4 linked regions of the Diceros bicornis minor genome follow. The main gene of each other region encodes a partner of the protein of the gene in region 2 in a complex. Links are inferred from orthologs where the notes say so. Each region holds a gene or a part of one and is shown on either strand. Other genes may lie near its edges. The genes, in order: RGS10, GNAI3, RGS8 and TRPC5.

Region 1 (7,882 bases), on a different chromosome or scaffold from region 2:
TGAACCTAAAACTGCTCTAAAAAATAAAGTCTTGGGCCGGCCCCATGGCTTAGTGGTTACATGCGCGCGCTCCGCTACTGGCGGCCCGGGGTTCGGATCCGGGCGCGCACCGACACTCCGCTTCTCCGGCCATGCTGAGGCCGCGTCCCACATACAGCAACTAGAAGGATGTGCAACTATGACGTACAACTATCTACTGGGGCTTTGGGGAAAAAAAAGAGGAGGATTGGCAATAGATGTTAGCTCAGAGCCAGTCTTCCTCAGTAAAAAGAGGAGGATTAGCATGGATGTTAGCTCAGGGCTGATCTTCCTCACAAAATAAATAAATAAATATTTTTTTTAAAAAAATGGTATTAAAAGCCATGAGACTTGATGAGATGGTCAAGAGAGTAAGTGTGCAAGAGAAAAGAGATCCAAAGACTAAGAGTACAGTGCCCACCTTTAAAAGGAATGAGAGGGGCCAGTCCAGTGGCATAGTAGTTAAGTTCATGCACTCTGCTTCAGTGGCCTGGGGTCCATGGGTTCGGATCCCAGGCACGGACCTACAGACTGCTCATCAAGCCATGCTGTGGCAGCGACCCATATACAAAATAGAGGAAGATTGGCAACAGATGTTAGCTCAGGGCCAATCTTCCTCACCAAAAGAGGAAGGAAAGGTGTCAGTGTGAACAGCAAATGTAGCAGAAGAAAAACTAGGAGAGCGTGGTGTTCTGGAAGTCAAAGAAAGAAAGTGGTTCAAGAGGGAGGGAGGGATCGACAGGGTCAGATGCTGACAGTGGGTCAAGTAAGATGGAGATGGAACTAACCGTAGATTTTCCAAGGTGGAAGTCATTGTGACCTTACAAGAGCAGGTTAGTGGGGTGGTGGAGTTGAAAGTCAAACCGGAGAGGGTTTAGGAGAGTGGATGGAGATGAATGGAAGACAGTGAGTACAGACAACTCATTTGAGGCACTTTGCTGAAAAGTGCTGTAGTGAAATAGGGCAATAGAGGAGTTTTATTTTGGTTTTGAGATTGGAGAAATACAGGTATGACTGCTTGCTGATAAAATTAATCTGCCCTGTTCCCAATTAGAATCTTAAATGTACATAAATTTCTTCCTTTTTAGGTTCATCTTCATGGATGCAGCACAGCACAAGATAGAGAGGGCTATACCAGGAAGAACACCTGCCTACCACTCAGGAAACCTAGTGTCACATCCCAGCTAAAGCTATCTGGGCCTCATTTTCCTGATCTGCAGCACAATATGCTGATCTCCCAGGATCCCTCCAGCTGTGATATGCCGTGAATGTGTGACTTGAAATGCAAGGGAGATCAAAGATGGGAAAAGCAGTTGGTGTCTGCTTGCTGCTTCCATGGGAAATTAAGAGTTTAAAGAAAGCAAAACTAAATGTTGTAAAAACGTGGGCTTAAATATTTGTGGATTAAACCCAGTAGAGATTTTGACCAGTTTCCAACTACTGATTTCCCCCCAATTTAACAGCATATACACTGCAGAAATTTTGCAAAACAGGAAAATATAATAATAAAAGTTTAAAATTACCCATTGTCCCATCATCTAGAGATAAATACTGGTAACATTTTGGTATAGTTTCCCATAAGCTTTCTATACATGAATCTACTATATTTCCTCCCCTCTCCCATTGGACATTTTCTCTATATTTATGTCCTGATTTTTAAAATGAAAATTTCATCATAAGCATGTTCCTTCATCATCAAATATTCTTCACACAGTTCTTACAACTGTTAAATGTTCTATCATAGGAATATACTGTAATTTAGTCATTCCACTAATGAGCATTTATAGCTACTATAAATAGCACTGATAAAACAAGTGTTATGATATTCAACTTTACACATAAATCTGTGCATCTCTTATTATTTCTTTGGCATAAATTACCAGTTGTAGAATTATTCACTGGTCCAATAGATATAAACATTTTGAAGGCTCTTATACATGTTGCCAAATATGCATCTTACCACATCTTCTCTCTTGCCTTTCAGACAAGTTGTAACAATTGACTTTCCTCCCTTCACTGTCAGTTGCAACACTGTTACTAACCCTGCCAACTTCATATAATTTCTTTTAAAAACGTGGCTTTTCAAGGTGTATAGGCTAAAGTTTATTGAAACAGCAGTGTAAGGGGAGTAAGAGTAATTAGATTCCAGTACATTTTTGTGTGCCTACATGTGCTGGCACTGTGCCGGGCACTCCCTTGTTTATTGCTAGCTAGCACACACCCTTAGAATGGAGGTGTCATCCTTTCCTTGTCCAATCCTGTGAGGCTGTGTTTAAGGACACACAGCTGGTCTGCTATATGGCTAGGATTGCCAGGTCTCTTGAGTCCAAGTCAGGCACTTATTTATTTACTTATTTTACTATATACCTCACCTGCCTCAAATAGCCTAGAATATTCTTTATAAGAGTCTCTAAAATATATTTTACATAATACATTTTATTATAAGAAACTATAATATATTCACAGCTTATTAAATTTTTAAAGTTTCTGAATAGAATAAAAAATACTGAACTCTAAAGTCAACGATCACTCTGAAATTCTGCTCTACCAGAAGACATCCTAGGCTCTTGTTCCTCGTCTGGTCTGAATGAAGGTTGTTAATGAAAGGTGAGACTACCAGAGGTAAGGAAGGGGCCAAACTGCTTGTCCTCTTCTTGCCCAGATGGGCTACCATTGTTAGTGAAGGCTTGAGATGAGCTGCAGAAAGTGAATGATGCTATTTGGATGGCAAGCACGTTTAGCCCATCTGCAAACCACAGGCAGAACTTTAAGTGTGTGTGTGTGTCTGTGTGTTTTCTTTTGGCAAGCTTTAGGAACTCTGAAGACGGTCTTGTAACGTCTGGAAACAAAAATTTCCTGAAACAAAAATTTGAAACTGTGTACATTAAACTTTAACCATGGGTCTTTATTTTTGTACTCAGCATCTGATATGCCAACAGGACAGTAAAAGTGATTTGAAGCTGTTCTGTTTTCCTTCATTTCAGAACGGCCTGGCTGCCTTCGTAGCTCAAGAGGGATTCATAAGCATGTCCTAGGCCACTCCCGGGTTTTTCAGGACACTGCGGGGGTGGACCCGGCAACTGGAGTAACCTTTAGCTACGCCCAACTTTACCCACTGTGCGCGTCTCCTTATTTCCTGTGTTAGATTACTTGTAATTTGGTTTCCGGAGAAGTTTTCTGGGGAGGTGTGTTGCACAAATTCCCTTGTTATTGTTATGAGAATGCAGCGACCTCACTTGCATCCAGAGTTTAAAAGTTCTGCTCTTGCTGCCTGTAGCTGAAGTATCGCAGCCCTGCCCCTTTACAACGGAGTGGAAGCTTGCGGGGAGCCCACGCCCGGAGGAGGCCAACCACGGGAGAGGTTTTTAAAATTGAGCTTTTTAAAAAAGCGGTTCCTGGTCACCGTGGTCTCCTCGAATTGCAGCTGAAAACCCCTGTAACCTTCACGAGCCAGAAAAGCCGCTCCCGGTAGCAGAGGGGGAGAGCGCTTAGAAATACTCGGAGGGGAAAAGTAGAGAGAGAAACCAGAAGCAACCATAGAAGGCCGGCGACGGGGTGGAACTGGGACCGAGGGGGTGAGTAGAGGGAGGGAGGAAAAATTAGCAGAACGGGAAGCTCAGAAGAGAAGACATAAAAAAAGTGCCAACTAGTGAAAATACTGCAAAAGGATGGGTGAAAGGGGGCCGACAACTGGGGAACGGTAAATAGCAATTAGTACAGCTAAAAATAAAGGCCAATTTAGAGACAAAGCCAGATACACAAGGAGAAAAAGACTCGCCAGAAAGACAATTCCTTGCAAACCAAATGCTCAAGAATATGGGGCTAATGACACCCCTCTTGAGCTGTTTTGCAGAAGAAATGAGGTAACAGGTTAGAGAGGAGCGCGCGGCGCTGAGCAGGTGACTGGCGGTGGGAGAGGTGAAATCAGAACAAGAGCGCAGAGCTGACCTGAGTGATTCCGAGCGTTGCGCGCAAAGGCCCTGCCGGAACGTGCGCCACGTGTCCCCAAAGTTAGAGAAGTGTCCTCGACCAACCCGTGTGCTGGGCAGAGGCATCCCTCCGCGCTGGAACCCAAGAGGTTCCTGCAGAATTCCCCCGAGGTCCGCCTCTGGAGCCTCAAGGCCAAGGGGAGAAGGCGCCGAAGTTCCGGCGCCCGCGCAGCGCGGCCCGGGGGAGGGCGCCCACCCGCGGCGGCTCGGCCTGCTCCGCGCGCGGGCACCGCGGCCGGGGCCCCGGCGACGCCCCACTGGCAATCGCGGCCATGGGGAGGCCCAGCGCCCACGGAGTCGCGGGGCGGTCAGGGCCTGGCGCGCGGAGACGAAGGCCATGGGCCGCGCCCAGGTTTTGCAGAACCGCGAGGCCTGAGGTGACTCCCGCCTGCCGCCCCCGCGAAGGCGCGTGGAGCCATGAAGCGCGGGGCGCCCTGCCCGTTTTTCGGGGTTGCAGGGAGAGGGCGGGAGACTGGGATGGGCGCTGGAGTCGGGAGCTGGGCGGGGTGGGGCCCAGGGCAGCTTCTTGGGCGAGCCGCGCAGAGCGGCGAGGGGGCCCCGGGACGCGCGAACCGCCGGGAGCAGGGTTCCTAAATCCCGGGCGGCGTGGGCTCCCTCCGGGCGAATGCGCTCCCTCCAGGGCGCCGGGCCGGGTCCTGGCGTTTGGGAGTCACCGGGTCTGCCCCAGCCCGCCCGGGTACCCCAGGGGGGGACCGTGGGGCCCACGCCGGGGCGCGTGGGCGAGCAGGCAGGGCGCACCGAGCGCGCCACGCGGCGCCTGGCGGGGAGGAGCGCGGCGGGGCGGGGGCCGGGCGCGCCGGGGCGGTGCTGAGCCGGTTCCTCCTCCTGGGCCTCCTCCTCCTCGCCTTCCTCCAGCTCAGCCGCTGCACCGCCCGGGTGCTCCTCCTTCCACCCCCGGGCGCCCGCGGCGATGTTTAACCGCGCGGTGAGCCGGCTGAGCAGGAAGCGGCCGCCGTCAGGTAAGCGGCTCCCGGGGCCCGTGGGCTGGGTGTCGGGGCTCCCCGAGGGACCGCGAGGAGCAGCCCAGGCGGGCGCTGCCCACCGGGGGCATCTTTCCCTCCCTCCTGGGCTCGGGCGCGGCTTGGCGATGCCGCCCGGACGGGAGCCCCAGCTGACCGCGCCACTTCTCTCCGCCTGGTCCAGCGTCCCTTTGGTCCCAGCCGCGGCGGGAGCGCAGAGCCCGGAGAGGCACCCCGGGGAGGAAGTTTGGCCGAAAGGGGAAGCAACAGTAGTTTTCTTTTTAGTGATGATCTGGGAGAAAAAGGAGATCCAAAACAGCCCCAAACTTTGGAGGTAGTATGTGCTCTAGATTCCGAAAGCAGAACGTCGCGCGGCGTCCCCGGCTTCTGGAGTTCTCTGCCTCCGCTGCGGGCGCTGGTGCGAATGATGCCCGCGCGGCGCCCGGAGGAGGCACGGCTGGACCCCGCGCACCCGACTGCAGCCCGGCCTGGGGTGCCGGGCGCTTTCAGTTCTGCGCGGCGGAGCCGAAGTGTGGGGCCGCGAAGGAGGGTGAACACCAGGGTGGAGAAGTGGTTCACACCAGGGAAGGCGCCCGCAGACATTACAAAAGATTCGGCTTGGCTGTCACAGTGGACCAGCCTGAGCCACAATTTGGAGCAATTTGATAGGACAAAGAACCCACGGTGAAGAAGAAATCATGCACTTGATTCCAACCATCTTACCCTTTTTGTTCATAATAATAGCTACGCCCCTTTGAGTGCTTAATGTGGGCCCGGGTCTGTGTTCACCAGGTTCTGTGAATTCTCTCTTCACTCCTATGACAACCCTGTGAGATGGGTATTGTTATCGTCACTTTCCAGAGGAGGGACCTGAAGCCAGGAGCTGTTGGGTAACTTGCTGCAAGTCACACTTGAGAGGTGGTGGAGAATCTTTGAAACCCGAGTTGGCCTGACTCTGGAGTCCAGAGGCATTTGTGCCGCCTCCCACTCCAGGAGTCACTCCTGCGTAGTACTAAAAGTCTGTACATGCTGGTCTGTGTCCTTTTCTCACCTAGTATATTTTATGAGGGACTTTGTGGTTAAGAGGATGGACTGGAACCAGACTCGCTGGGTCTGAATCCTGCCTCCACCACTTACCGGCTGTGGAACCTCTCTGTGTGCAGTTAAGGATCAGCAAAATGGGAATAAAATAGCTACCCCTCTTTAAGCACTTCAGTGGCGCTGTTTTTCCCATCCATCAAATTATGCAAATCATCACATTTGATATTTAAGACAACTCTAATAAAGTAGGGTTTCAACTGTAATAAAGTAAGATCTCATAGGGTTATCGTAAAGAACTTGTATTGATGTTAGTGGGCATGTAAACCTTGCCGTGTCGCCTGTGGGTCAAAGGATTCCCCTGTGGGTGTGCATTGTAGCCATTCCCTGTTGTTGGATATTCGTAGGCCCATGGAGCGGTGGTCAGACCCAGGACTCTGGAGTTAAACTCCTGGTTCCCACCCTGACTGTCATTCAGCGACTTTGGGCAAGTTACTTGACCTCTGAGCCAAGTGCTAAATTATTGGGAAATTTGGGAGCTGGTTGCTAAATCATAGATCATTTGAAATTGACTGTTGGTGAATATTTATACCATGGAAATCAGCAAATGCTTAAAATCAAGGGTTTTCCCTCTTAGGAGAGCCCGTTTACCACCACACCTTTGCATGTGTTTTCCCATTTGTAACGTGGGTTTCGTAGAGTTGTGGGATTAAGTACGCTAAAACATCTGAAGTCCCTAGTACAATGCCTGGCACATAATAAATGAGTAATAATAGTTAGCTGTTATCTTTTCCCCCTTTTCCTATTATAAACAGAGCTGCTGTGAACTTCTCTGCATTAGTTATTCATTGCTTTGGATCATTTTGAGGTTGAAGTCTTCCAAATAGAACAACTGGATTATGGGATATACATGTTTTGGGGTGTTGTTGCATGTAGACAGGTTGCTGGGCCAGTTTTAGGGAGTGCACCTCTTCCAGGGCAGCAATTTTTAAGCCTGCTGAAACGTGGGGAAGTTGCTGATAGAAAGGTGGGTAGATAAACATTGTCGATTGGTATTGGATGCCTGGCCTCCAAGAGCCCGATTTCTTTAGAATTTTTAGGTTTAAAGTCTGCCCCTCTGGTGGGACAGGACAAATGATCCCCTGCCATTTGGTCATCACCACTCGGCAGCAGGAAAAGAAGCCCAGTGAGAAAGGGGTATGTGGCCCCTAGGCGGAGGCCCTGGGAAGCCAGCCAAGTAATCCACGGGACCCTCTACTGAATTTTTTTTGTGTGTGGTAATTTTGAATTAGTTTTCTTAAAGAGGCTCTCTAAATTGGATAAGCTGGGTCTGCCATTGCAGGACCTCTGATTTGGACCTGGCTACAGTCCTGCCTCCTAGCACCTTTCTTTCTAGACCTTTCCTGCTTCTAAGCAACATCTTACAGGAGACAGTGTCTGTAAGCGGAGGGTTTGGAGTTCCTAACCCCTAATTCCACGGTTCTAAGTACAATTTCCTTATTTTCCTTTCTGAGGTTTCTCAAAGTGTGTTCACAAACCACATGGCAGGGGGGAGGAGCTTGATAAAATGCAGCTTTCCAGGCCACACCTCAGACCCACTGATTCAGTCTTGGGGACCCAGGTGGGGAGGGAGAGTAGGCTGCGTTTTCAACAATGCCCCAGTTGATCCTTATGACACCGAATTCTGAGGAACCCTCGACGGATTCTGCCCCCCGTCCTGCCCCTGACAGCAACTTGCACTGTTGATGGTAAGTGGGATGCTGCTCACTTGAAAGCAGAGCCACAGCCACAGCCCTCCACCACCTGCGACCAGACCGAGGGGCGACCCACTGGGGGAATCCCTGCCCTGCCAGGCAG
Region 2 (7,095 bases):
GCTGGAGGATACAGGGCAGCAGGCCAGGTTTGGAGTTATTCCGGGGCCCTTTAGGATATTTCCTTTTTCAGTATAATTGTCCAGGGAAATCATTGCACCCAAGCAAGGTAAGAAAATGACCCATGTCTTCTCATTTCCTTGCTAGGTTTAACAAGAACTAAATTATAGCCAAGTGTTTCCATTTGAGTTAATAGATCTTTTTTTTAGTTTTAGACCTGAGGTTTCCTTAAAGTGAGAGGACTAGGTATATTCCTCTCCTGAGTTTGACCAGAAGCAGGAGGAAATAGCAATCAGTGTGCATCGAGTAGAAGACAGGAAAGTTGACTACAGCTCTCTGTCTTCCGCCCTCAAGCTTGATCTCAGCAGAAGCAAGACTAAGACTGGATGGCTCTTTCTCCTTGTCTTTTAGGATGAAGAAGTGGAAAGATTGGGGGCTGAAGATAACTTTTTTTATTATAAAAAGTTATACTGATATCATTTAAATTGCTAAGGTGGTTGGATACAGACAGGCCAGGCAATCACCCTGACCAGTAATACTATAAATCTTTTTTTTTTTCTCCCTAGGACTGGCCTTCCTGATCTCTCTCCTCATGGCAGTGACCCACCTCCAGCCCCCTGGACAATCGGGTACAAGAGACTAAGGTTGGGAATGGGAAAGGTGGGGTTTCCATGGTTCATTAAATGCCTCCCTACTCCCATTCATCGCTCTCAAAATTAGCTTCAGTGACAAAGACTTAATCTCTCTCCTATCTGCAGCCCTGGGTTGGAGACAGGGCACAGGAGTTGGGCTCAGCTGTTCACTGATTGAGACTGTAGGAACTGTGTTGGTTGGTATCGGTGGTGGTATTTTCAAGGGAAGGGGAATAATTGCAAACTAGACAGGACATCCATCTGGGACTACCTGTCCATCCCACTTCCCTCAATTGAATCAGGTGACATTAAAGGGTTAAGGTAGGACCAGAGGGTGGTGTGGTCTGTATTTAAACAAATTCCTGGCTCATCGAGCATCTAAGGGGAAGATGTGCTGGTGGGAGTGGGATAGATTCCCTTTGAACAGCCAATAAATAATTTTTATTATAAAAAGTTATACTGATATCAACATTGACTCCTTCAGTTCAATTCAGTGCATAATAGTTGAATACCCAATATTCTCTGGCACTCACACAGAGGATGTAGAGTCACTGCCTTCAAGGAGTTCATAGTCTAATTTGATCAGGTACCTTGTATTTTTACATCTGGTAAAGCAGTACAGAATGTATTTGAGAAATATATTGGAGAATATGCTCTTGGTTCTCACTTCTGAGAGTTCAGTCCATTGCAGCAAGATACGTACATGGAGGCTTCCTGCAGATTGTGAAAAGTATGAGGGTTGTAAATGAAACTCTAGTTGAAGAAAAACAATTTATTAAATGAAACTTGGGCAAATAGCTTTCCCCCTTCAGATCTAGGAAAATTTCCAGGTGTCTGTCTTCCTACTCCTAGACTTACTCTAGTCTAAGGCCTATTACATTGAGGAAATCCCTTGGATAGTATACACTGAGGAGAGTCTCTTGTGATTGAAAAACATACTCTCTCCTCCCTTTTAAGATACACTCATAAGAGAGGAATCTCATTCCTGAACAGGGGGAGAACTCTTCTTCCAAACATCATTGATCAGCTAGTACGGCCTAAGCATTGCCAGCAGGTGGCAGTGTGAGTCCAGCGGAAACAGAAAAGGTGCGGTTCGTGGGGTGGGGGCTCTAAACATTGCCTGGCAGCCATTTTGTTAATTTATTTTGCCTTTTCCTTTGACTTTGCCCTCCAACCCTTCCTTCACATACATCAAAGAAGAAAATTTTAAGTGCAAGGATATCTCTAATTCAGGCTGAAATTTCCTGACACTGTGATCTCACTGGAGTTTATTACAGAATTTGACATACGCTGGTTCATTTGCCCTTTCTTTTTCCCTGAGTGGATCATGAAGGAAATAAAAATTTCTTTTTTATTATGCTGAGAACTTTCCCAACAATTTCTGTCATGACCACCTTCCAGGAGTTTTCTAGTTACCAGGATTGCTTGGTAAAGTTCAAGATGTAATCCTTAGCTGTGAAAGCTGTTCCTGGACAAATTTTGACCTCTCTCATCCACTGAAGAATCAACAGGTTGAGACAACCGTTCCATCACTTTTTGCTGCACCCTAGTGGTGCTGGGGTAACTTTCAATCCTAGATGAAAACCTTCTGTTGTCAGGTCTCCCCAGGTAACATCTTAAAGTGGAATGGTAGAAAAGGGGTGAATTTGGAGTCAGATCCACTTACTCACTGTGTGAACTTGGGAAAGATGCTTAATTTCTCTGAGCCTATTTCCTCATCTGTAAAAATGGGGATAACATTACCTACCTCACAGGGTTGTTGTGAGGATTAAGAGATGACACGTGGAAGCATCTAGCCATACCTGGCAAATAGGAACTCAATAAATATTGGTTTTTCTTCCCTTTCCTCTTGCCCTTTTTCCCCCACAAGTATTGATTATGGGAAAGAAGTCCCTTCTATTCTAACAGGTTTGGGAATGAGTAGACTTTTCAAACTTTGAAGAAAGGGCATTGATAAATTATGGTGGATGAGGCTGTTTAAGGTGGCTCTCAAGAAATCTAATTAATGAATCATCACCTTACACACCTTTCTGTTGCGACTTTACATTCTAAGGTTTAGATTCTATTAGGGAAATAATTTTTTTGTGTGTGTGAGGAAGATCAGCCCTGAGCTAACACCCATGCCAATCCTCCTCTTTTTGCTGAGGAAGACTGGCCCTGGGCTAACATCTGTGCCTATCTTCCTCCACTTTATATGGGATGCTGCCACAACATGGCCTGACAAGCAGTGCATTGGTGCACACCAGGGATGCAAACCTGGGCGGCCAGCAGCTGAGCGTGCGCACTTAACCGCTACGCCATGGGGCCAGCCTGGGGAAACAACTTTTAATCACAGGGAAAGGTTTTGGGGGCTACAAGAGGTACCCTCCCTAGAACGTATAGTGAGAGTATTTGTGGGGCTATGTGGCAGTCAAGGTAATTTAGGGCCACCTTCATGGTAGTACCCAGGATTATAAGTGAAAAAGGTTATCAGTCTGGGGCTTTTATGGGGGATTTATTAATTTTCAGGTGATGCTACAGCTGAGAGGCAAATTCTACTAGAACTTCCCTTTTTGGCTATCACAAAAGGAAATTTTATTAGGAGATTCACAGGATGCACTGGTTTGTTTTGAGGTGTGGGTCAGGGGTTGACTAACCTTGGTACGAATCCTAAGACCCTAACGCAGTACAATCTGTAAGCGCCCAAACTGCCTTATATCGGAGAAAGGCAGCATGGAAACTTTATGGAGGAACTACACGCTTCCCTTTCAGATAATCGAGTACGCTAGCGATTTCAAGTGGCCCTTTGCCAACACAGTAGCTAGGCACCTCTAAAGCCCACAGAAATTCGTATGAAACGGCCCGAGGACCAGGGTCCATTTTGAGAGCAGGAGGCAGTGGGCTAGAGAAGGCAGAAAGGGATCTGAAGTCCTAGGCATGGTCTTACAGATCTCAGATGCGAAGCGTGGCCGGGGCCCAGGCTTTGGAGTTTGTTCCCATCCCAGAGATCTGCCTGAAATGGCCCCGGCAGAGGAACTGTCCTACACTTGGGCAGGGGCCACGGGTCTCTAACGTTAGAGATCAAAGGGGCTTTCTCGCCAGTGAGAAATTCCCAGCAGAAATTCCCGCGCGGGCTGTGGGCTATTATTTGGGAATTCCTCCCACTCACGACCTCGCCACTCACGACCTCGGGAGGGGGTCATGAACTGGAGAAGGCAGTCCCTGGTTTTTCTACAGTTATTCAAATACAGCAGCCGAAAAGGTGAAAGGGGACTAAGGTCGAGCTCGACATGACCTGGCTACCCACGGCACTGCGGCTGAACCTCACCGTCCCTCTCCCCGTACTTCCGCTTCCTCTCGCGCCTCCTCTACCCCACCTAGAGAGGTTCAAGCAGTAACGGCCGAGGGGCGTTTCCGGAAGTGTCGTAAACACCGGATATCCGGTTCCTCCGGGAGCTCCGAAAGCTGACGGAGAGGGCCGCCGCCCAGTAGTAGGCTCTGTGTTAGCCAGCCGAGCTGCGGTTTCTGCGGGGTGTGAGTGAGTCCGGGCCCGGTCCCCTCTCCCGCCGCCGCCATGGGCTGCACGTTGAGCGCCGAAGACAAGGCGGCGGTGGAGCGGAGCAAGATGATCGACCGCAACTTGCGGGAGGACGGGGAGAAAGCGGCCAAAGAAGTGAAGCTCCTGCTACTCGGTGAGGGGCTGGGGGCGGGGCTGGCGGGGTCATCGCGAGGGCCTAGGCACTTGGGAGCCCAGAGCGGGGTCAGGCCGGGCTGGCGGAAAGGACCCCGCAGGGATCTGGAGGGCGTGACGGGCATGGGGCGGGGTGTTGGGTAGGTGGCTGAGGCCCCGGAGGGCGTCATGAGGAGGTGGGGTTTTGGGGTTGTAGGAATTAGGCTGGAGAGAGGGTGTGACTCTGTGCTGAAATTGTGTTTACCGAAGAGAGCTTGGCAGCGTGGGGCAGTAGGACGTTGAGACTGTGTTAGGAATATGGGAAAAGCTCATAAAGGAAAAGCCGATATTAGGGACGGTTTTGCAAGGGGTTGGAGTGCGTTGGTAGCAAGCAGGACGGGGTAGTGTGTTGGGCTTGTATAATGGCTTTTGAGTTTGGAGCGTAGTGCTACTTTATGACAGGATAGAGCTGGGAGGCTTGGATGATTAATGTAAATAGAGAGAGGGGCTGAGACAGAGTGGTCACATAAGGACCCTGTCATTTATTAGAGAGTGGGCATTTTGAACTCTGGGTGAGCTGGAGGAACCCTGGATTTTCCAGGAACATGCAAGTGTGTGGTTGAGATAATGACACGTTCTCATGTATAAAGGAAAAGAGCTTGGGTGCAGAGGCTGTCTGTACTTTTCCAGCTGTTTCTGTAATTTTTGTTCTCTTAAAGTTTTGTAATGCCTTCCCTTGTTTTTATAAAGGAGGAGATGGTGTGAGTTGAGGAAATTTGAGAACTGGCTTGTTTGAGGTTTGTGGCAAAAGGCGTAGTGGACAATAGATTACATATTGGGAGTTGCTGAATAGTTGCTAGGGATGATGTGCTGTGGAAATGGAGTTATCTTAGGATAAATTATGGAATTGGACATATTTACTTTAAAAGCTGTGACAGACTTCTGGTGAACTGTTTTATCTTTTTTGGTCTCTTCAAACTAAAAACATTGGCTTTAGGAATTACTATTTTTTTTACCTGACATTTGTTTTAAGTAGCTTTTACGTACAGTCAGATGCATTTTACTCAGCATGATTAGTTTTAAAATTTTTGTGAGACTGGCTTCTGGAGGCTCAGTTAATCATGTAAAGTACCTAGGCATCCACTTACCAATAAATAAATCAAGCCACATTTCTTTACTATGAGTATTTTCTAGGGATCTTTAGAGGAGAATAAGTAGGAGTAAATGGTTTCTGCAAGCAATAGAACTTTACTTTTTAGAACAATTGACTTTTGAGAAAAAGAAGTCACTTTAGGAGAAGTGCTAGATTTTCATGGTGTAAAACTCCAGAGGACAGAATGTGCCACCATAACCCAAGACTTATCTTGTACTCCAGGATGTGTGGGGTGCCTGTGCTAGTCTCTTCATGATAACATGTTTGGTGGTTTGTAGATTGCAGAAACCCTGGTAACAGCTTTTTGGATATAGGGGGAAGGTTATGTATTGGAGCTTGGGCTCCAGTTTGAATACATGATCTTTCAGAATGCATGAATTTAAATTGTAGTTCTAGATTGCCACTCTCTATGTAGCAGGTATCATTTGTGGATGAGCATGGTCCCTGGCACGTAGTAGATGCTCCTTAAATATTGACTGTCAACCAGCATGAGCCGGCTAATGTTGGATGTTGCTCTTTGGGGGCTTTCAGATGTTTGATGTAAACCATAATATGTACTCAAGGCATTAGCATTGTCTATATTGAGATTGGTTATGAAATTGAAGGTATGTTTTCATCCTTTGTGAGTGTTTTGATTTACATTGACTGTCAGAGATCCCCTCAGGACATTAGCCTATTGTAATATAGTTGTAAACTGTGAGGCTTTCTTCCAAATGGCGGGATTTGGCTGGCAGAACCTATACAAGCAGAACTTGTCCAAATGTCTAGAAAAATCTTTGTTCAGGACTTTTTAAGTAGTGCATTTAATTAAAAACAAAATTAAACACATGATGACCTGGGGAACTTCAAAAGCAGTAAGTAAAAATCCAAGTACTAAAGCATTTGCTTTTAATTGTTATCAATTTCGTTGTTTTAAGAAAGATTTTTTTATGTTCTTGAGCAAGTTAAATCAACAGCTTCAAATAGGTTGCAGAGACAGATGCTCTTGCTTGAACCATATCATAATGCACATATGAAATTAAAATTATCTTCCTTTTTCTATAAGCAAAATGCATACATCACAGTATGTAAGTAATTTTTTTTTTGCTGTAGAATACCCCTTTTGATGTATATGTAAGTCATTTTTACTTCATCACTGAAACTATCAAACTTAGTCTAAGTTGAGAACTGTTTACTTACCCTTGTCTCTCCTGGCACGTAATAGGTGTTCATTAAATCTTACTGTATTTTCTTCCTTGCAGGGATGTAGTATGGCATAATGATTAACCATATGGGTTCTGAAGTCAGACTGTTTTACATTCTAATTCTCATTTATCAGCTATAACCTTGGGAAAGTTATTTACTCAGTTTTTCTCTGCCTCGGTTTCCTCATCTTCAAAATGGAGAAAATAAAGGTACTTTCATAGGATTGCTGTGAGGATTAAATATGATAATAAAGTAGAACACAGCCTGGCACGTAGTATTAGCTCAATGAATATTAACTATTATTGTTATTATTAAATCAAAATGAACGTTACAGATTCTGGGGCCAGCCCGGTGGCGTAGTGGTTAAGTGCGGGCACACAGCTTCTGGGGCCTGGGGTTCACAGGTTCGGATCCCAGGCGTGGACCAACCTACCACGTGTCAAGCCATGCTGTGGTGGCGTCCCATATAAAGTAGAGG
Region 3 (7,869 bases), about 42 Mb from region 2:
CTCAAACTAGAGTGCTGCGGGGTTATTCCTTGGCGGTTAGGCGTGTTTGGTAAAAAAAGTTTGGACTAGTTTTAATTTTCTCTTTTTACTCATGCTAGATGCGTGTCCACACATTCTTGTCCCTCTCTCTTTACATTCCTATTCTTTCCTTTAAACTTAATTATTATGTCTTTCCTTAAACAGTGGGTTGGCTTATTGACTTTCTGTGATTATATTGTTTCTCTAAAGGCTGACTGAAGATTCTGAAGCCTGATTAATATTGGTCAGCTTGCACTTGAGATGTGGGCCCATCCGCAGCCCTGACCTTTCTTCTCGGTGCCTTTAAATCCTGGATGCCAGACTGGGCAGCATGAGACATGGAGGAGGCCTCTATCCCACCATTTTAGCACCAGCAGAGGAGTCAACTGATGACATACCTTTGCGTTAAAGCGAGGGGCAGAGCAGAGACTGGAAGCACGAAGTTTAGTATCAGACACCAGCTCTGCTACTTATAAAGGACCTGTTTTGTTTTTCCATCTGTAAAATGGGGATAGTAAAGATGTCGACATAGTGAGTTTGCTGTGAGAGTTAAATGAGATAAGGCAAGTGCAACGTTTATCATAGTGTCTGGCACATTTCTCAGAGCTCATTAAACATTAGCTATGTGCATGGAATCCAGGGATGGATCTACCTTATGGTACAAACTTATCTTGGATTAGGGAAGTGCTTATCGACGGGCTTTTTTTCACCAGTTCATATGTGTACCTGTTTTTTATGGTACCAGGAAAATGTCCAGACATGAAGGATTCTCTTTATGCTGAAATTCTAAACCCAGCTAGCAACAGGTTTCAAGACAGGGATTATGAGGGATAGAATATGTTTCTTTTGCATCTCATTTTATAACACTAAGTTCCCTTTACCTAACAGAGGGGAACTGTGGACATTTCAGAGAGAGACAGTGAGTCACTGTGGAGGAAGCATCAGAATTTTTATGTCATCCCTGTCATCAGGCAACGTGTGGTTGCGGCAGAATCACTTCACCGTGAGAATACGGGTTATGCACCAATAGGTCTGCCAGGAAGACTGGGTCCCGGCATGACGTAGTAGAAAAAGCTCTGCTGTAAGAGTCATAAGAAAACGAGTTCTGGTCCTTGAGCTTCCTCTTACGTGTTGTGTCACTTTGAAAAAAGCATGTCACCTTTTTTAGCCTTGGTTTTCTCATCTGTAACACGAGGATAATAATACTCTCTCTGACTGTGGCGTGGGGTTGTTGAGTGACAATATGCGAAAATGCTGTCTACATTGTAGAAGGTTAACCAAATGGAATCTAACATCTTTATTATGAAGCCATCACTTTCCGCAGAGATTTCTGCTGCCTCTAGCAAGTGCTGCCTTCTGGGTTTCAGAAATGACTTGCAGCAAAGGTCAGGTGCTTTTGGAACTTGTTCCTGAGTGGGAGCAGGAGACTCAGCCTTAGAGACCTAGAGCGGATTGAGGAGAAGGCAAGCTTTATCCCAGGGCAGTGGTTTGCAAACTTTAGCATGCATCAGAATCACCTGGAAAGCTGGGCCCCAACCCCAGAGTTTCTGATTCTGTAGGTCTGGGGGTGGGGCCTGAGAATTTGCATTTCTAACACATTTCCAGGTGATGCTGCCGCTGCTGGTCCAGGGACCACACTCGGAGAACCGCTGCACTAGGGCAAGCAGGAAGAGAATCCTCCTTCTGGAACTGAAACAGGCAGTGTGAAGATCCATGTGAGTAAGGCGGCTTGGAAGAAAAAATGTAGAAGACAGAAAAATAGGGATAATGTGCAGATTGGGCAGAACAAAGGGAAAAGTCTCATTCCGTAACAAATGCGAGTAGGGGGAAGTTGCTAGGTGATGGATGATGAAGAGAGGTGAATTTCCACTGCAGGAAAAACCAGGAGCGCAGAGTTAGAAATATACATGTTTGGGGAGGCAGAGGAGGTGGAAATTTCTCATTAAGAAGTGAGGAGTGGTGTGGTTGGTGCTGGGGGGTGGGCGTGGAGATGGGCTGGGGGAGAAATGCCTCTGGAGAGTAAGAGGGACAGCTGAGATGTGGCAGAAGGGGGTAATTTCAGGGCTGTGTGGTTTAGCTTGGCAGCGCAGCACAATAGAAATCGGGAGCAAGGGGGTGGAATTTAGATGTGTGACCTGCCCCATAGCGTTCTTGCTCTCTGCATTTATCACATCACATCACACCCAGCAAGACAGCCCCCCTCCTCCTGGCTCATTAGGAGATTTGATTCGGCTTGGCTCCTGCTGTCAGCAGCTGTCTGGGGCAAGATCTTTATGCTCCCTGCTCCCTGAACAGCAAGCAGCCTTCGGCCAGCAGCAGAACTCATTAGAAGAGGCCCCCTGGACATTTGATTTTCAGGTCATTGGTGGCCGGAAAGAGTTAATACCTACAGCTTTGCTGCCCCCTGCACAGCCTCTGGGTGCAGAGGGAGGCAGCTTCGGGCTGTGGAGACTTCTCCCTGAGCCGCAGCCAGACGAGCATAGAAGCAGGTTAGTGAGGCCAGGGAGGAAGGTGCGGGAGGAGTGCCAGGCGAGCTCTGCTCAGGGGCACCTCCTGCATCCTGCCAATGAGGATGGGTGTGCAGACGGTGTCCCGGAGCTCAGCCGCCACCCGTTGGGTGTAGGCTGCTTCAGCATTTACTGGATGTGACAATCAGAGAGCAGAGCTTTCAGTGGGGCTGCTTGCTGCCCGGCTCAAGTGGCGGGAGGTGTGTTGTGCATGCATGCGTGTATATATGTGTGTGTATGCGCGTGTGTCCATGTGTGTCCATGCACACATGCCCTTCACCCGCCAAGGATTTGACTGCTAAGAGAAAGATCTACTCTTTCCCCAGAGCTCCTTAACCCGCAGCCTCTCTGACCATCTGGTTGGCAAAGACCCGCAGGCCATGAGGACTGGTCAAAGACAGTGAGTATTGCTCTTGCTTGTCTCTTTCCCCTCCGGGGTGCCCGTGTGGGCTGATTGCATTATCCATATTTAATTAACCTGCCTCTCCTTGCATATTGATTGCTTTCTCCCTGCTGAGGCTCTTAGTTTCTCTTCCCCTCTTTATACATCTTTGCTCTTTGCTTTTAACCTTTGTTTTTTCCTTGAGTATCCTCTCTTTCCATTCTGTCCCATCCTGTCTGCCCCAGAGTCACCTGTAACTTGATGTCCACCTATCAGGGCACGTGTAATGTGGGTACAATCATACCCTCAGCCTTCCTGGGCTCTGGGTAACCCCAAACACTGTCCCCCAGAAGTCAAGGGCCATGTGGGATGAGAGCCCTGAGGTGCTGGGATGAATGAGGAAGGTGGGTCAGAGAAGCCTGCAGGTTCTTATTTAATCAACTCCAAAGCTGAGCTAATTGAAGGGGCGGTGGAGGGTCCCGGAAGCCACGGTGGGCAGCGCTGGATTTGGAAGAGAGAGAGGCAGGCATCTAAGCCGCTCCAGCTTGCTGGTGTGGGCTAGCAGTGGAACGGGAAGAGCGACAAGGCAGTGACAGGAGGCCGGGTGATAACCGCCCCAGATGACCTTGCCTGCTGTGTATGTGGAGAGTAGTCCCTGGTTCTGCTCAGCTCCAGGGTAATGAAGGTCCCTGGCACGGACTCCCCCTCCTCTGGGGCATATCCCACAAGAGAGAGAAAATGAGGCTTAGGTGCCCAAAATAATGATTTCTAGAGACCCTTACAGCTGTAAAGAGCTTTGATTTCCTGACTTCTGGGCAAGCAGGTGTATGCACAGTTAAGACAAAGATTACAGAAGTGTCCCAGCTGTCAGGGAGCCCGATCCACGCTCCATCTCCTGGGAATGAGCCTTTACATAAAGTCTAACGGATTTTTTTTTGGTTTTAACAAAGCCATCTTTTTATTTTATTAATTGTGGTATTATTAGAGCAGGTATTTAAAAAAGTATTTGTGAAATGTTCCAGGTAATATCAAAATGATTTAACCAGCGTAGACCACATCGAGGCCTTATCCATCTAAATTAGGTTTCTGTTAAAATGGATTCTATGTTCGGTGTCAGGGTTCCCCAGGGGAACCCTTTATGTATAGGCTGCTCTCTTCACATGTTTCTTCCTATTGGTGGTCTTCTGTGAGAACAAAGCATTTGAAGCACTGAGAATGGGACCCTCAGGAGAGAGAGATGATGAGTCAATCAGCCCTAAACCTCAGCATCCCTCTCCTGGTGTCCTCCCTTCTTCCGGTCAGGAATGGGCCAGTCCGCAGGCTGAGGAAGGCCGGGCAGCCTCCATATGGGCAAGAAAGAGTGACTTGCACATTCATTTATTCAGCCTGTGCCTGTCATCCCTGCAAAGGAGCAAGCCTGTATGGTGACAGTGCCTGACAAGCTCCCTTGGAGTTGCTCCAACCTTCCTCCCGCTCACGCCCTCCCAAGGCTCCTCGAACTCCCACCTCCAGGACAGGTTCCCTTGGAGGGAGGTGAGAATCAGAACAGCAGCCAATCAGATGATTCTGGAGCAAGTGCTGACCCCTCCCCCACCCCCCGCTGGCTGGTCACTTGGGCCCCACTGGAGTAAGACAAAGAGAGCAGTAATTTTTGGCTAGCCAGGCCCACGCCCTCCTCCCCTGGGGCACATGTCCCACTATACTGTCGATGGCCAGTGGTTGGGAAATAGAAACTCCTGACCAAAAGGCAGCCATGTGAAGCCACCTGACAAGTTGTTCTTGTCCATCCTTGGTTGGTCCCCCTTGCTCAGGACCAGCAGATGTCTGTGGGGAATGGGGTGCGTGTGGGGAGGTATTCACTTGGTGGAAAGCCGTCTGAGAGGATTTGTAGCCCCATTAGATAAGAGAGGGTGGCCCCCTCTTACAGCAGATTCTTTGATTTTAGGTGAGAGGACGTGAAAGGGTAAATCCCTGTGCCCCGCAGTCTTATCCCGCCCTGACGTCCCTGCAAACCAGCCAGAGGGTTAACCGTAAGCGGGTGCCTGTATGGCCGCTTTACTGATGCCACGCAGGTAACTGATGCTCACCTGTCTTCTTGTGCCTGCGCCTTTCCTCCTTCTCCATCCTCCCACCTCCCCTGCTGTTTGATCCTGCCCAAGCCGTCTAATCCGGTGGGTGGTCCGCTTGCATCCATCCCCCAGGCCTCCTGTGTGGACTGCACTGGCCTTCCCTGGGTGCATCTTGCAAAATTGTGGCCTTGCAAGCAGGACCTGCCTTAGCGCCAAGCCCTCCCATTGACTGGTGGGACTTACGGGGTGGGACAGTGCATGAGCTTGTATGGAGCCATTTAGGGAGCTCTATGAGTTACTGGACAGCGAAGAAATGAGGGCGAGCCTAGGTATTTTTTCTTTGTAAACTTAACCTTTGTCTCTTGCTTCTGCTCCCATTATTTCAGACCTAACTAAAAGGTTATAGCTCAGGTCACGGCTAGACAAGATGGCAAATCAAAACCATTTTGTCCCAAAGATTATTTTGTGGAAGAATTTAGCTAAGATTTGGGAGAATCACTGTTGTCTTGGTAAAAAGCAGCACCTTTTACACTGGCCCCTGCTCAAACTTTGTTAGATGGCTTGGGTGGAGTATGCCATTTTTTTTTTTTTTTGTGTGAGGAAGATCAGCCCTGAGCTAACACCTGCCAATCCTCCTCTTTTTTTGCTGAGGAAGACTGGCCCTGGGCTAACATCCATGCCCATCTTCCTCTACTTTATATGGGACACTGCCACAGCATGGCTTGAAAAGTGGTGCGTCGGTGCGTGCTCGGGATCCGAACCGGCGAACCCCGGGCCGCCGCAGGGGAGCGCGCGCACTTAACCGCTGCGCCACCGGGCGGCCCCTGGAGTTGCCATTTTTTGAAATCCTCTTTATTGCTCTTTGGGGGTATCAACCTGACTATTCTATGATTGACGATCCTGAGGCACCGATGATCGAACTGACTCACTGAAAGTTAGGTTTTGGCCTGTGGTGCAGCCTTAGCAAGACCTTTACTTGGGTTCACGGAATGTGATGACTCAAGGGCCTTTAATCAGTTGTTTGCATGGCCTGGTGTCGGAGCAGCCTGTGATTTGTAAGAGTGAGTGGACATAAGATGCTCACTGTCGCAGGGGAGAGAACGGCTGAAGCCAATGTTTTGAAATGCCACAAAACTGATTCACAGTGGGCCTGGCGGAGATGAGTGGGGAGCACAGGGCATGCAGGCCCAATTTTCTGCAGGAGAGGTGATATTTCTGGGAACTTGGGTGTTCCAGCCTTAGCAGACTCCTCAGAGATGGACTGTGGAATACAAATGCTGTCTAGCCTCGCCAAATATAATACCATCCCAGTAGACATCTGTTAGATAAGATTTCTGTGAACAATTACCAGGGTCAGGGATGAAAACCCATTTGAAGTAAAAGAATGAGATTGAATTGGATGACCTCTAACGCCTCTGCCCAGGCCTGGGATTTGTGAAAAAGAGGAAAGAAAAGCCAGGCTGGAAGGACTTCCTTTCAACAGGGAGAATGACATCTTCTACGACTATTTCCATGCCAAATTGTTACCAGTGTGCACGTGGCAGTCCCCTTTTATAAGTCACTCTTAAGTCCTGATCTGATTATAACAACCCCCTCCCACTTACCTTTGCCCTCCATGCTAGGAGTTGTCATGGTTGAAGGTCAGGGGTCAGTAGACTTCTGTCAAAGGCCAGAGAGTAAACATTTTCAACTTTATGGGCCATACAGTCTGTGTTGCAACCACCCAACTTCTGCCCTTGTGCTCGAAAGAAGCTTTGGACAATATGTAAACAAATGGGGAGTGTTGTGTTCCAATTGAACTTTATTTACACAAATAGGCACCTTGCAAGGCTATAGTTTGCCAGTCTCTGATTAAAGGTAAAAAAGGGCTAATGTTGGGAGTCAGAGATAGACATTAGCATAATTTCTCACTGGATCCTCCGCAACAGATTCAAGTGTCTGGTCCTTAGGAAAATAAAAAAATATGAGAAATTTAAACATGCATGTTAAAATTTTAAACATGCTGATTGAGATAAGCCAAAATATAAAGAGGGATACGAGGGCTTAGTTAAGCGACTAGAAGAACTGCCAAAAGGGGCGCTGGTTCTTAATTGCTGATTGTACCTTGCTCTTCTCCTCACCTGCAGTCATCGGTCCTTGCTGGTCTGTAGCCATTCAGGTATATCCCCAGGTTTGTAGGATGAGTGGGGAGAACCCGAGGCAGAACTGACCTGCCTTGAAGCCCCGTACTTTGTGCTCTGAGACTCTGTGAAATGCACCCCTGTCTTATGCAGGAAACCCCCTACTCTCTGCGTGGGTCCTACTTCTGGGGCTTTGCAATCAGGAGCTGCTGCTGCTTTGCCCTCCTAGTGGGAGAACAAAATGTAGATTGTTATTTTGTCATCACTGTATTTCCTTTCCCTACAGAGAATCCTAATTTAGAAATTCTTCCAAGCTAACGACCTTCAATGACTTACCATCAACTTGCCATGTCAGCTTTAAAAAGCATTAAGCCTCTAGGGGTAGGGTACCTATTACTATTCCGGGAGTCAAGATAGGGAATGAGTGTATCCCTTGATCTTCTAGGTGTTTCTCCTCTTGTTCATGAAATCTTCAGGGGCCACCTGGAGAAGGACGGGGGGTAAGCAGTGCTGGCTCTGGCAGCAGCAGCTCCAGGGGCCCATTATAGAGCTGACAGCTGTGATCACGACATTCCCCATCCTTCTGCCCCTGTGCTTGTTGCAGGAACAAAGGGATGAGGACTCGACTGGGATGCCTGTCACACAAGTCAGACTCCTGTAGTGATTTCACAGCTATTCTTCCCGACAAACCCAACCGTGCTCTAAAGTGAGTAGTGTGGCCACATGGCATTCCTGGGGTACCCACCATGGGGTGCTACTGTGGGGCTATAGAA
Region 4 (7,943 bases), on a different chromosome or scaffold from region 2:
TCAAAACTCAGATAGGGCTGGCATTGCTAGCCCCCTGTTTGGAATCTCCCTTGTCCTCACTTCTCTTTCAAAACAGTTATGAAGCTAAATGGAAGTGAATATGAATGTCCAGGATGTCTTGTTCAATCAGCCATGTGCTTTTCTGGGAGATACACTTAACTCATCAGCAGCAGCACGTTCTTGTTCATCAGCAAATATTTATATATAACCCATTATATATGAGGCACTGGGTTAGGTACTGATGGGGGAAGCATGGAAACAGTTGGGCATTAGATTATGCCTCACATTTAAGAAACAATCTAGTTACAGAGACCAGACATTTACACAACTAAGACTGACCAATAGTACATAGTAGTGTGTGATTGGTGTCAAGTGAAGGGTAGAGCCAATGGCTACATAATCTCAGAGGTGGGCAAGATCATCATGGAGCAGGGTAGCTGGCTAAGCCTTAGTTAAGATTTTAGTACATTAAATCACTCAGGCACTTAGCAGGGCTCTGGGGAAATGGGGCACAGAACAAATCAGTTTTGATGGGGATAGTGACATGGACTGAGAAGGGAACCTGTTTATACCACTCTGCTTTGCTGTTCATCCAAATTCTGTAGGCCTGTCCTTTCCAGAGAGCTCATCCATCCTCCACTGATCTACCCTGTCTCAGAACTCCCATGCTGAGAATTCTAAAACTTACTCAGACTGCCAGGGAAGCAGTATAGCCAAGTGGTTAAGAGGGTGGGTTTAGGAGTTAGGCTGCCTGAGTTTGAATCCTGGCTCTGACATTTATTGAGATCTTGGACAATTAACCATCCTGTGACTTAATTTTTCTTATTGGTACAATGGGGATGGTAAAAATAGTGTCTACAAAGTTGTTGGGAGGATTAAATGAGGTAAGTCATGTAAGATACTTAGCACAGTGCTAGTTGCATACTATTCATTCATAAAAAAGGTATTTATTGAGTGCCTGTAACATTGCAGGCACTTTCCCAGTGCTAGGATATAGCAGTGAAAACGAGAGACAAGGTCCCTCCTCTCTTGGCTCTGTGTTAAATGCTGATGGGGAATGGGGGGATTCAGGCTCTTTACTCAAGGAACTTTTAATCTAGTGTCTTGCTTTCTGCTCTATGAATTCTAATTCTTAGTCTATGAGTTGTCACTTATCTTATTTTCATTCATTTTTGTTTAACTAGGCACATATTAAAGCTATAAATTCCCTTTAAACCAAGCTTTGGTCATATCCCGTAAGATTTGATATTGAGTGTTTTCATTACCAATATTTTCTAAATACTTCGCAATTTTGGTTTTGATTTGTACTATTTCTACTTTTTAATATACTGCAGTATTCCATGTTTGATGACTCTATATTTTCTTTGTCCCTACTATGTGCCTCTACCATGCTCCAAAGGAAGAGAGACAGTGAAGAGACCTCTCTGACTTGAGGGGTTTAGAAGGGACTAGGGGGAGACAGGACTGGAACAGACTATTAATGAAGGGTATTGAATGCTAGGCTTCATGAGTTGGTTTCTTTTCTAACGAGGAGACATTGTAATCATTGAAAAGGTGGACAGGAATGACAGGATTATTATGCTATTTTGGGAAGAATAAGACAGCATCATTGTTCAGGATGGCTTTAGAGAAAGAAAGAGGCTAGACGCAGGGAGTCCAGTTAGAAGATTTTCATGTCAGTCTAGGACAGTGGTTCTCAAACCTGAGTGTGCATCAGAATCCCCTGGAGGGTGTTAAGACACAGCTTGCTGGGCCCCACCCCCAGAGTTTCTGATTCAGTCAGTCTGTGGTGAGGCCTAAGAATTTGCATTTGCATTTCTAACAAGCTCCCCTGGTGATGTTAATGCTGCTGGTCCAGGAACCACACTTTGAGAGTCACTCATCTAGGAGAGAGACAATGAGAAGCAGAGGCAGAGTTGTGGGAGCTGGGCTAGAGAGGAAAGGAAGCATGTAAGAGAGAGGGGGAAGGAAGAAACCACATGGCTTGGGGATTGGACACAGAGGCAAGGGAGAGGAAGGACTCAAAGATGACTCCACAGCATTAAACCTAGGTGCCTTGGAGGATAGGAAAATCAAAAAGGCAAAAACCTGGACATCTTGGGGTGGAATGCAGTCACATGCTGGGTACTGGAAAAATATGTGAGTCCCTGTATCTATCTGCATCTGCATAGGGCACACTGAAGTTTAAAGGCCTCTCCTTCTTCAGGATAGAGGGTGGCGAGAAGGAGGAAGCCCAGGTCTGTGTTTGGTCTCTCCTTTTCTAGAATGTAACCTTTGAGTAGAGGAAGAAAATGAAGATAGAGAGCAGGGGGTAGGGAGGGTAGAACGAACTTGGATATTCTGGAAACAGAGAGCATACTTTTGGGTTGTTAAGTATTGAATGTATATGGGAAAATACTAATAAGGAAAAGGCAAATGAGTAAAACTCAGTGTAGGCCATGCAGGGTAGCTCTAGGACATCACCTGAGATTACTGATGCTATTTTTGAAAGCAGAGGGTTGCCATGATAGGGCTTCTCAACTCTAGCCTACCTAACCTTCCCTAGTTTCCAGGCTTGTGACCCTAGTGCCCTGTTGTCCCTGGTTATTTCCCAGCCTGTAGGGACTTCTCTTACCTGCTTCTCTCCACTGGGCCGCCTGTAGCTGAGCAGAAGCTCCACAGCACCCACTACTTCCTTGCGGATGGCGTAGAGCAATGCATCGCCTACATATACGCTATGGTTCAGCAGTAGCTCCATGATCTCCAAGTTCTCGTTCTCAATGGCAATGAGCAGGGCGCTCCGGCCCAATGGATCCATGCAGTTGATGTTGACATTGTAGTAGATCTCCGCCTCTTGTAGGGCCTGCTTCACAGTGGCGTAGTCCCCCTTCTCCACAGCGTTGAGGAAGGCCTTCTCCTCTGCAGAGAGCTCCGTCTCAGCCCTCACGATTTGCAAGGGGATGCGGTCTCTGTATGGTGAGTAGTTGACCTTTTTGTAGTACAGTTGGGCCATGGTTCATAGCAATTTAGAAACCTGAGTGAGGAGAGAGAGGGAGGCCAAAGATATTCTTAGATATCTGAAGGTCTCAAGTGGCCACTTACGGAGGCAGCCTGGCTAAGGGGTTGGAAAATCCTAAACTGTTTTAGTGCCATAATCTTTCTCCTCTTGCAAAGGGGTATAGCAGAAAAATCCCAGGCTTTTGGATCAGAAAGACCTGGGCTCAAATCCTGGCTTTGCCAGCTCTGTGACCTTGGATAAGCTACTCAAGCCCACTGTGCTTCAGTTTATTAAGTTTATCAATATTAATACCGTTAGCAGGAGTTATCACTTAGTGATTGCTTACTGTGTACTAGGCCCTGTGCTGAAGAATAATTTCTACATCATAAAGCTATTGTGAGAGTTAAGTGAAGGAATACATTATCAAAGCAACTGGCACAGGGTAAACCTCCTGAGACATGGCACCAGTTAGTTCCTTCCTTCCCTTCTGCTACCTGAAAATACTTGTGATATACTTCTGATGGGTGATGCACAGTTGAAGTTCATCTTGGGCCAATTTCCTTTGGGCCTTGGGCCTGTGGGCCTGTGCTAATTTTCAGGATTACATTTGCAGCTTTCCCAGATGCAGATCCTGGACTGAAATCCTGTTTTAGTGCTAACTGAAGCCCTGCTTCTTTCTGCTGCTCACTGGGGAAGGAGTACTGGCTCCAATAGGCCAAAGTCATGCACCCCTCTGCCCACTCATGATTTTTTCCTCCATCATTCCAAACCAAGGAGCTGACAGATCTGAGAATCTGTTTGATTCAATTCTGAGAAGTGTATGGTCTGTTTTATATGCACCACATCTAAAGCCAGATTTTAATAGCATTGATTTTAAAGTAAAACCTATTATTGAGTTTCTAAAATGTGTTTAATTTTCTCTGGGAGACCAAGAAAAAAAATACAGTCTTTGCCTTCGATTGCACAGAATGAATCACAGTATAGAGCTCTTGCATCGTAGTTTACAGATCAAATGCATGCACATTCCTCACTGACTCCTTGAACTAACCCTGTTAGTTAGGGGAGAAGATGAGGCTCAGACTCATTAGGTGATTAACCCCCTTTCCCTCCAGGATGCTCTGGAAGCTGAGTTTGGATGGACTCTTTTAAGTGTCTTTCATTACTCAACTGTTTTGCCAGCAAAAGGAAATGGAAATGTGATAAAGGGCCTCTTGTCTCATCTCCTGGATGTAAGAGAAGATAGAGACATGAAGCTTCCACAAACATTTGCCTCACTCCTCCAGGTAATTACATCCCTGCTTTGGAAGTGGGAGAAGCATATATTATACCAAGTGGCATTAGCAATTCATGTGCTTGTGATCTTCTGGAAGTTAGTATTTGAAGGTGAGTGTTGCCTCTTGCCCTGAACAGGCCCAAATGACAAATTTCTCTCTGCACCCAAATCTCAGGAGACCAGGGTACTGTTTTGCTGTCTTGAGAAGCACTGATATTTTCCTGTGCTACTTTCAAGTAACTCAGCGTGGCTAAAGGAAAAGGGCACTTAGAACAAGCATTTGTCACTAAACAGCAAATGACTTTAATAATACTAATTGTAGACTGCCTCCCTGCCTCCCCATCTCCATTATAAACAAAAAGGGAAGAGGAAGAAGAGAGAGTGTAATCTCTTGAAGAGACACTCAACAACCCAATTCACGTTATATCTATTTAATAAAGACGAACACAGCAGAAGCCTTCAGTGTGCCTAGCACTATGCTAGTCACTTTTAGAGGATATGAAAGAACAGACCCCCGCCTTCATCGTCTCTCACCTGGACCATTCCACAGCCTCACAGTTAATCATCCTTACTCCATTCTCTCCCCCTTCAGATCGTCTCCCACAGAACCCCCAAGTTATCCTGTGAAACACAAATCTGATCACATTTCAATCCTCCTTGGTTAGTTTCCTGCTGCTCTGGTGATGAAATCAACCCTCGTTTCTGAGGTCTACTAGGTCTTGGCTTTTGTTTACCTCTCCAACCTCATCTTAAGCCACGCTCTCCATCATCCACTATTCTTTAGCCCATGGAGCTTCTTTTGATTTTCTGACATGCAAAACTTTTCTCCACCTCAAGACCTTTGATTATGGCCTGGAACACTCTTCTCCAGCTCTTTTCATCTTTCAAGCCTCAACAAAATGTCACCTCTTCAGAGAAGTTCCTTCATATTCTTCTCTCCACTGTACTCTTTTCTCTTCCTTCTTAATGTTTATCACAATTTGTAGTTACATATTTCTTCATCTTACTGGGTAATTGGCTGTTTTGTCCAATTCTCTTTAAAGCTCAAGTGCAGGCATTGCATCTGTTCTGTTTTTCTAGCACCTGCACCTAGCCCAGTTCCTGACACACCCTGGATGCTTGATATGTATTTGCTGAATGCATGAGTAAACCTTCCATGATATTTTCTCGTCTCTCTCCATCCCACCCTAAGTTCTAGTCTAGTCTAGCTCTAGTCACACTAAGTTAAGTCTATCCATGTTCTCTGAGTTGCCTTTGTACATGGCTTCATCCCATTCTTTCCACTTAATAAACTCCTTCTCAGGAGTTTGCTTGTAGGTCCCCTTCTCTGTTAAGCCTTCCCCCAATGCTGTCAGAAAGTTAGACAATCTCCCTCTGAGTTCTCCACTGGTACTTGGATCACATTTTTTCAATGTCACCCAACTGCATATTTGTCTTCCATTAGGGTAGAAGTACCTTGATTCCTGCCTTCCTAGAACTCACACAGGGTCTAGAACACGACAGGTGCTCAACAAATAGATGTTTAATGAGCAAATATAATCTAGCTGAGGAGGGTTGGCACAGTCGTGGAACGAAGTGCTAAATTATGTGGTACTGATTTGATGCTTTGGGATTTCAGAAAGAGCTCAGTGAGGGCTGGAGGTCTCAGAGAAGGTTTCACGGAGGAGGTAGCTCTTAAGCCAGTCCTTGGAAGATGAATTAAATGTGAAAATGTGAGAGTAGTCCAGGCACTACTGAGTGCAAGAACAAAAGTAGTGAGATTGATCATGGCCTAGTTGGGAGACAGTGGTGGGGGGTATATTTTTCAGGCTATAATAGGATACAAAGATTAGAGGTGAGCTAAAGTTCCAAGGCAAGAGCTTATAACCTCAGTTTCCTCATAAAAAAAATGATCTTAAACATTTGCTGCCCATTTGCCATTTAAGAGGCTACCATGGAAGAAAAGGCTAGATGTCTTTTCAGATGGTATCACTGTTGATGCTGGGCTGAGCATTATTGCTACAGGAAGATCTGTGCCCACTTTAATAAGGCACAGCTGTGAGGGAAACTGAAGACAAATATATCACAGGGAAAGGTGAGAACGAAGGTAACTAACTCAATTGGTGCCCTATTATGTGCAAGGCACTATGCCAGGAGCTGATGCAATAAAATAATTATTATAGTTTTGAATGCTTGATATGTCCTAGGCACTGTGCCAGGTACTGGGGCAGCACGCTTACTACTGCTGCTTCTAATAGTAATAATAATGAAGGCAACAAGCAGTACCATTCACTGAACTCGCACTATGTGCCAGATGCGAGGGTTATAGTAGTGAAAGAGAGAGGACAGTAAGATCATGGTAATTTGAGACTTGAAGTAAGTATAATTGGATGATATATAGTTGATTCAGAGTCTAGTTTTACTTTTTATCTCTTGCATTTGAAATGAATCTGGTCTGTTGCATTTCCAGTGGGCTGTGTTATGAGAAGCCTCGTTGTATTCCCCTGTAGAGAAAAATATCTCCTCCAGAGGTTCGCCTGAGATTGTACTATTAGAGAGTCACTCCTTTGCTTTAAGGCACTGCATCTCTAATACTACCCCTGGAAGGAATAATAAATCACATGGCTAACAGCTAGTAACACCTTAATGTAGATTCCTTCATTGGAAAGTTGCTGTGGCCTTGGGTGTAAAGAGATGTGTGTCTAGAGGGACAGGGAAGATGTAATGGAGGGGAAAGGAGAGGCCTCATGTCCAGCTTTGGAAATCTCTTTTATGTATCCATGCACACCTCTACATTACACAGTGAGAGTGATGTAAAAGGGGTTCCCTGCATTGTCTGTCTAGATGTAGGCTTATGTAGATATCTAATGACTTGCCTAGTGCCCTTCCCTCTTCCATTCCCCACAGCTTGTGCCACTTGACTCGCACAGCTTTAGCCTCAGCCTTGCTGCAGGCTCTAGGACCAATCCTTTCTCCATATGCTTGCTGTTAGTCCTACTCTGCCATTATTCTGGGAATAAGTAACTAATGATGGAGTTTCTGGCCTTTCTTGAGGATGTATTATTGGGAAGGCTCCTTTCCATCACCCTTTACCTTTAAACTTGGCAGATTGCACTCACCTGCCATTAACCTAAGCCAAGAGATGAGGCTGGCTTTCCCATCATTATACACTGGCCTTGAGGTGTATTCTTAACTGAACAAAACAAAACCAGCCAGCACTTCATGCCATTCTATGAGTGAACCCCACTCCCAATGTAGTCCCCCAAGCATGAAAGATTAGGAATGGTCTAACAGACTGCCTCAGGGGGCTTATCATGTTCTCTCTTTTCTGTGCTGCTAGCCAGAGGAGTTTGTCTAATGGTATCTGTGACATGTGTGGGCTTAAACGATGCAATTTAAAGAGCTAAATCAATGGGCTGGGCAGAAGGTCAGGGCACAAAGTGGTCTTGCCAAATCCCAGCCCAGCTCACTGCCCAGTTCAGGACTTTGTCTGTGAGGAGGAAAGCCTAGTTTTCCACCTAACTAAAAAAAAAATAGTGCCTTTGGAGGAACATGGTATCTGTGCATGGCTTGCACTCTGTGCCATGAGGATTGAGCTTGAATGGTGAAACCTTTGTGACCTCTCACCCGTATCCATGCTTATCTGTCCACTTGTCTATCTCTTGAGAGCCCTTTAAGGCAAGTAGACTTAATCTCATAAACTTGTACAATCTC

Evidence for each region.
Region 1: the proteins of GNAI3 (region 2) and RGS10 are in contact, whole or in part, in a crystal structure (PDB 2IHB), measured with the Homo sapiens proteins. The link is inferred for Diceros bicornis minor from reciprocal best matches to the Homo sapiens genes GNAI3 and RGS10. Residues at the interface, in NP_006487.1 of Homo sapiens: Val71, Val72, Ser75, Glu115, Val179, Lys180, Thr181, Thr182, Gly183, Ile184, Val185, Gln204, Ser206, Glu207, Lys209, Lys210, His213, Ala235, Glu236; in NP_001005339.1 of Homo sapiens: Glu62, Phe63, Ser64, Glu66, Asn67, Ala102, Ser103, Ser104, Gln105, Val106, Asn107, Val108, Glu109, Gly110, Leu137, Lys139, Tyr140, Asp141, Ser142, Arg145.
Region 3: the proteins of GNAI3 (region 2) and RGS8 are in contact, whole or in part, in a crystal structure (PDB 2ODE), measured with the Homo sapiens proteins. The link is inferred for Diceros bicornis minor from reciprocal best matches to the Homo sapiens genes GNAI3 and RGS8. Residues at the interface, in NP_006487.1 of Homo sapiens: Glu65, Gln68, Ser75, Val179, Lys180, Thr181, Thr182, Gly183, Ile184, Val185, Gln204, Ser206, Glu207, Lys209, Lys210, His213, Ala235, Glu236, Asp237, Glu238; in NP_001095920.1 of Homo sapiens: Thr76, Glu77, Phe78, Ser79, Glu81, Asn82, Ala117, Pro118, Glu120, Val121, Asn122, Ile123, Asp124, Phe125, Gln126, Arg128, Leu153, Lys156, Asp157, Ser158, Arg161, Arg164.
Region 4: the proteins of GNAI3 (region 2) and TRPC5 are in contact, whole or in part, in a cryo-EM structure (PDB 8GVX), measured with the Homo sapiens proteins. The link is inferred for Diceros bicornis minor from reciprocal best matches to the Homo sapiens genes GNAI3 and TRPC5. Residues at the interface, in NP_006487.1 of Homo sapiens: Arg205, Arg208, Lys209, Trp211, Ile212, His213, Phe215, Glu216, Glu245, Leu249, Ser252, Asn256, Lys257, Trp258, Arg312; in NP_036603.1 of Homo sapiens: Thr27, Glu32, Glu33, Glu56, Ile57, Tyr58, Tyr59, Asn60, Lys125, Pro128, Thr129, Leu130, Met131.

Annotation. Positions count from the first base shown.
Region 1 is NC_080745.1:82,339,690-82,347,571, reverse strand, and holds the start of RGS10 (regulator of G-protein signaling 10), read left to right. Parts: upstream 1-4,878; 5' UTR 4,879-4,938; coding exon 4,939-4,987; intron 4,988-7,882. UniProt on the Homo sapiens protein: Regulates G protein-coupled receptor signaling cascades, including signaling downstream of the muscarinic acetylcholine receptor CHRM2.
Region 2 is NC_080743.1:42,585,589-42,592,683, forward strand, and holds the start of GNAI3 (guanine nucleotide-binding protein G(i) subunit alpha-3), read left to right. Parts: upstream 1-4,081; 5' UTR 4,082-4,183; coding exon 4,184-4,301; intron 4,302-7,095. UniProt on the Homo sapiens protein: Heterotrimeric guanine nucleotide-binding proteins (G proteins) function as transducers downstream of G protein-coupled receptors (GPCRs) in numerous signaling cascades.
Region 3 is NC_080743.1:84,725,598-84,733,466, forward strand, and holds the start of RGS8 (regulator of G-protein signaling 8), read left to right. Parts: upstream 1-4,860; 5' UTR 4,861-4,953; coding exon 4,954-4,979; intron 4,980-7,700; coding exon 7,701-7,802; intron 7,803-7,869. UniProt on the Homo sapiens protein: Regulates G protein-coupled receptor signaling cascades, including signaling via muscarinic acetylcholine receptor CHRM2 and dopamine receptor DRD2.
Region 4 is NC_080781.1:103,842,884-103,850,826, forward strand, and holds the start of TRPC5 (short transient receptor potential channel 5), read right to left. Parts: upstream 3,007-7,943; 5' UTR 2,993-3,006; coding exon 2,615-2,992; intron 1-2,614. UniProt on the Homo sapiens protein: Forms a receptor-activated non-selective calcium permeant cation channel. Mediates calcium-dependent phosphatidylserine externalization and apoptosis in neurons via its association with PLSCR1.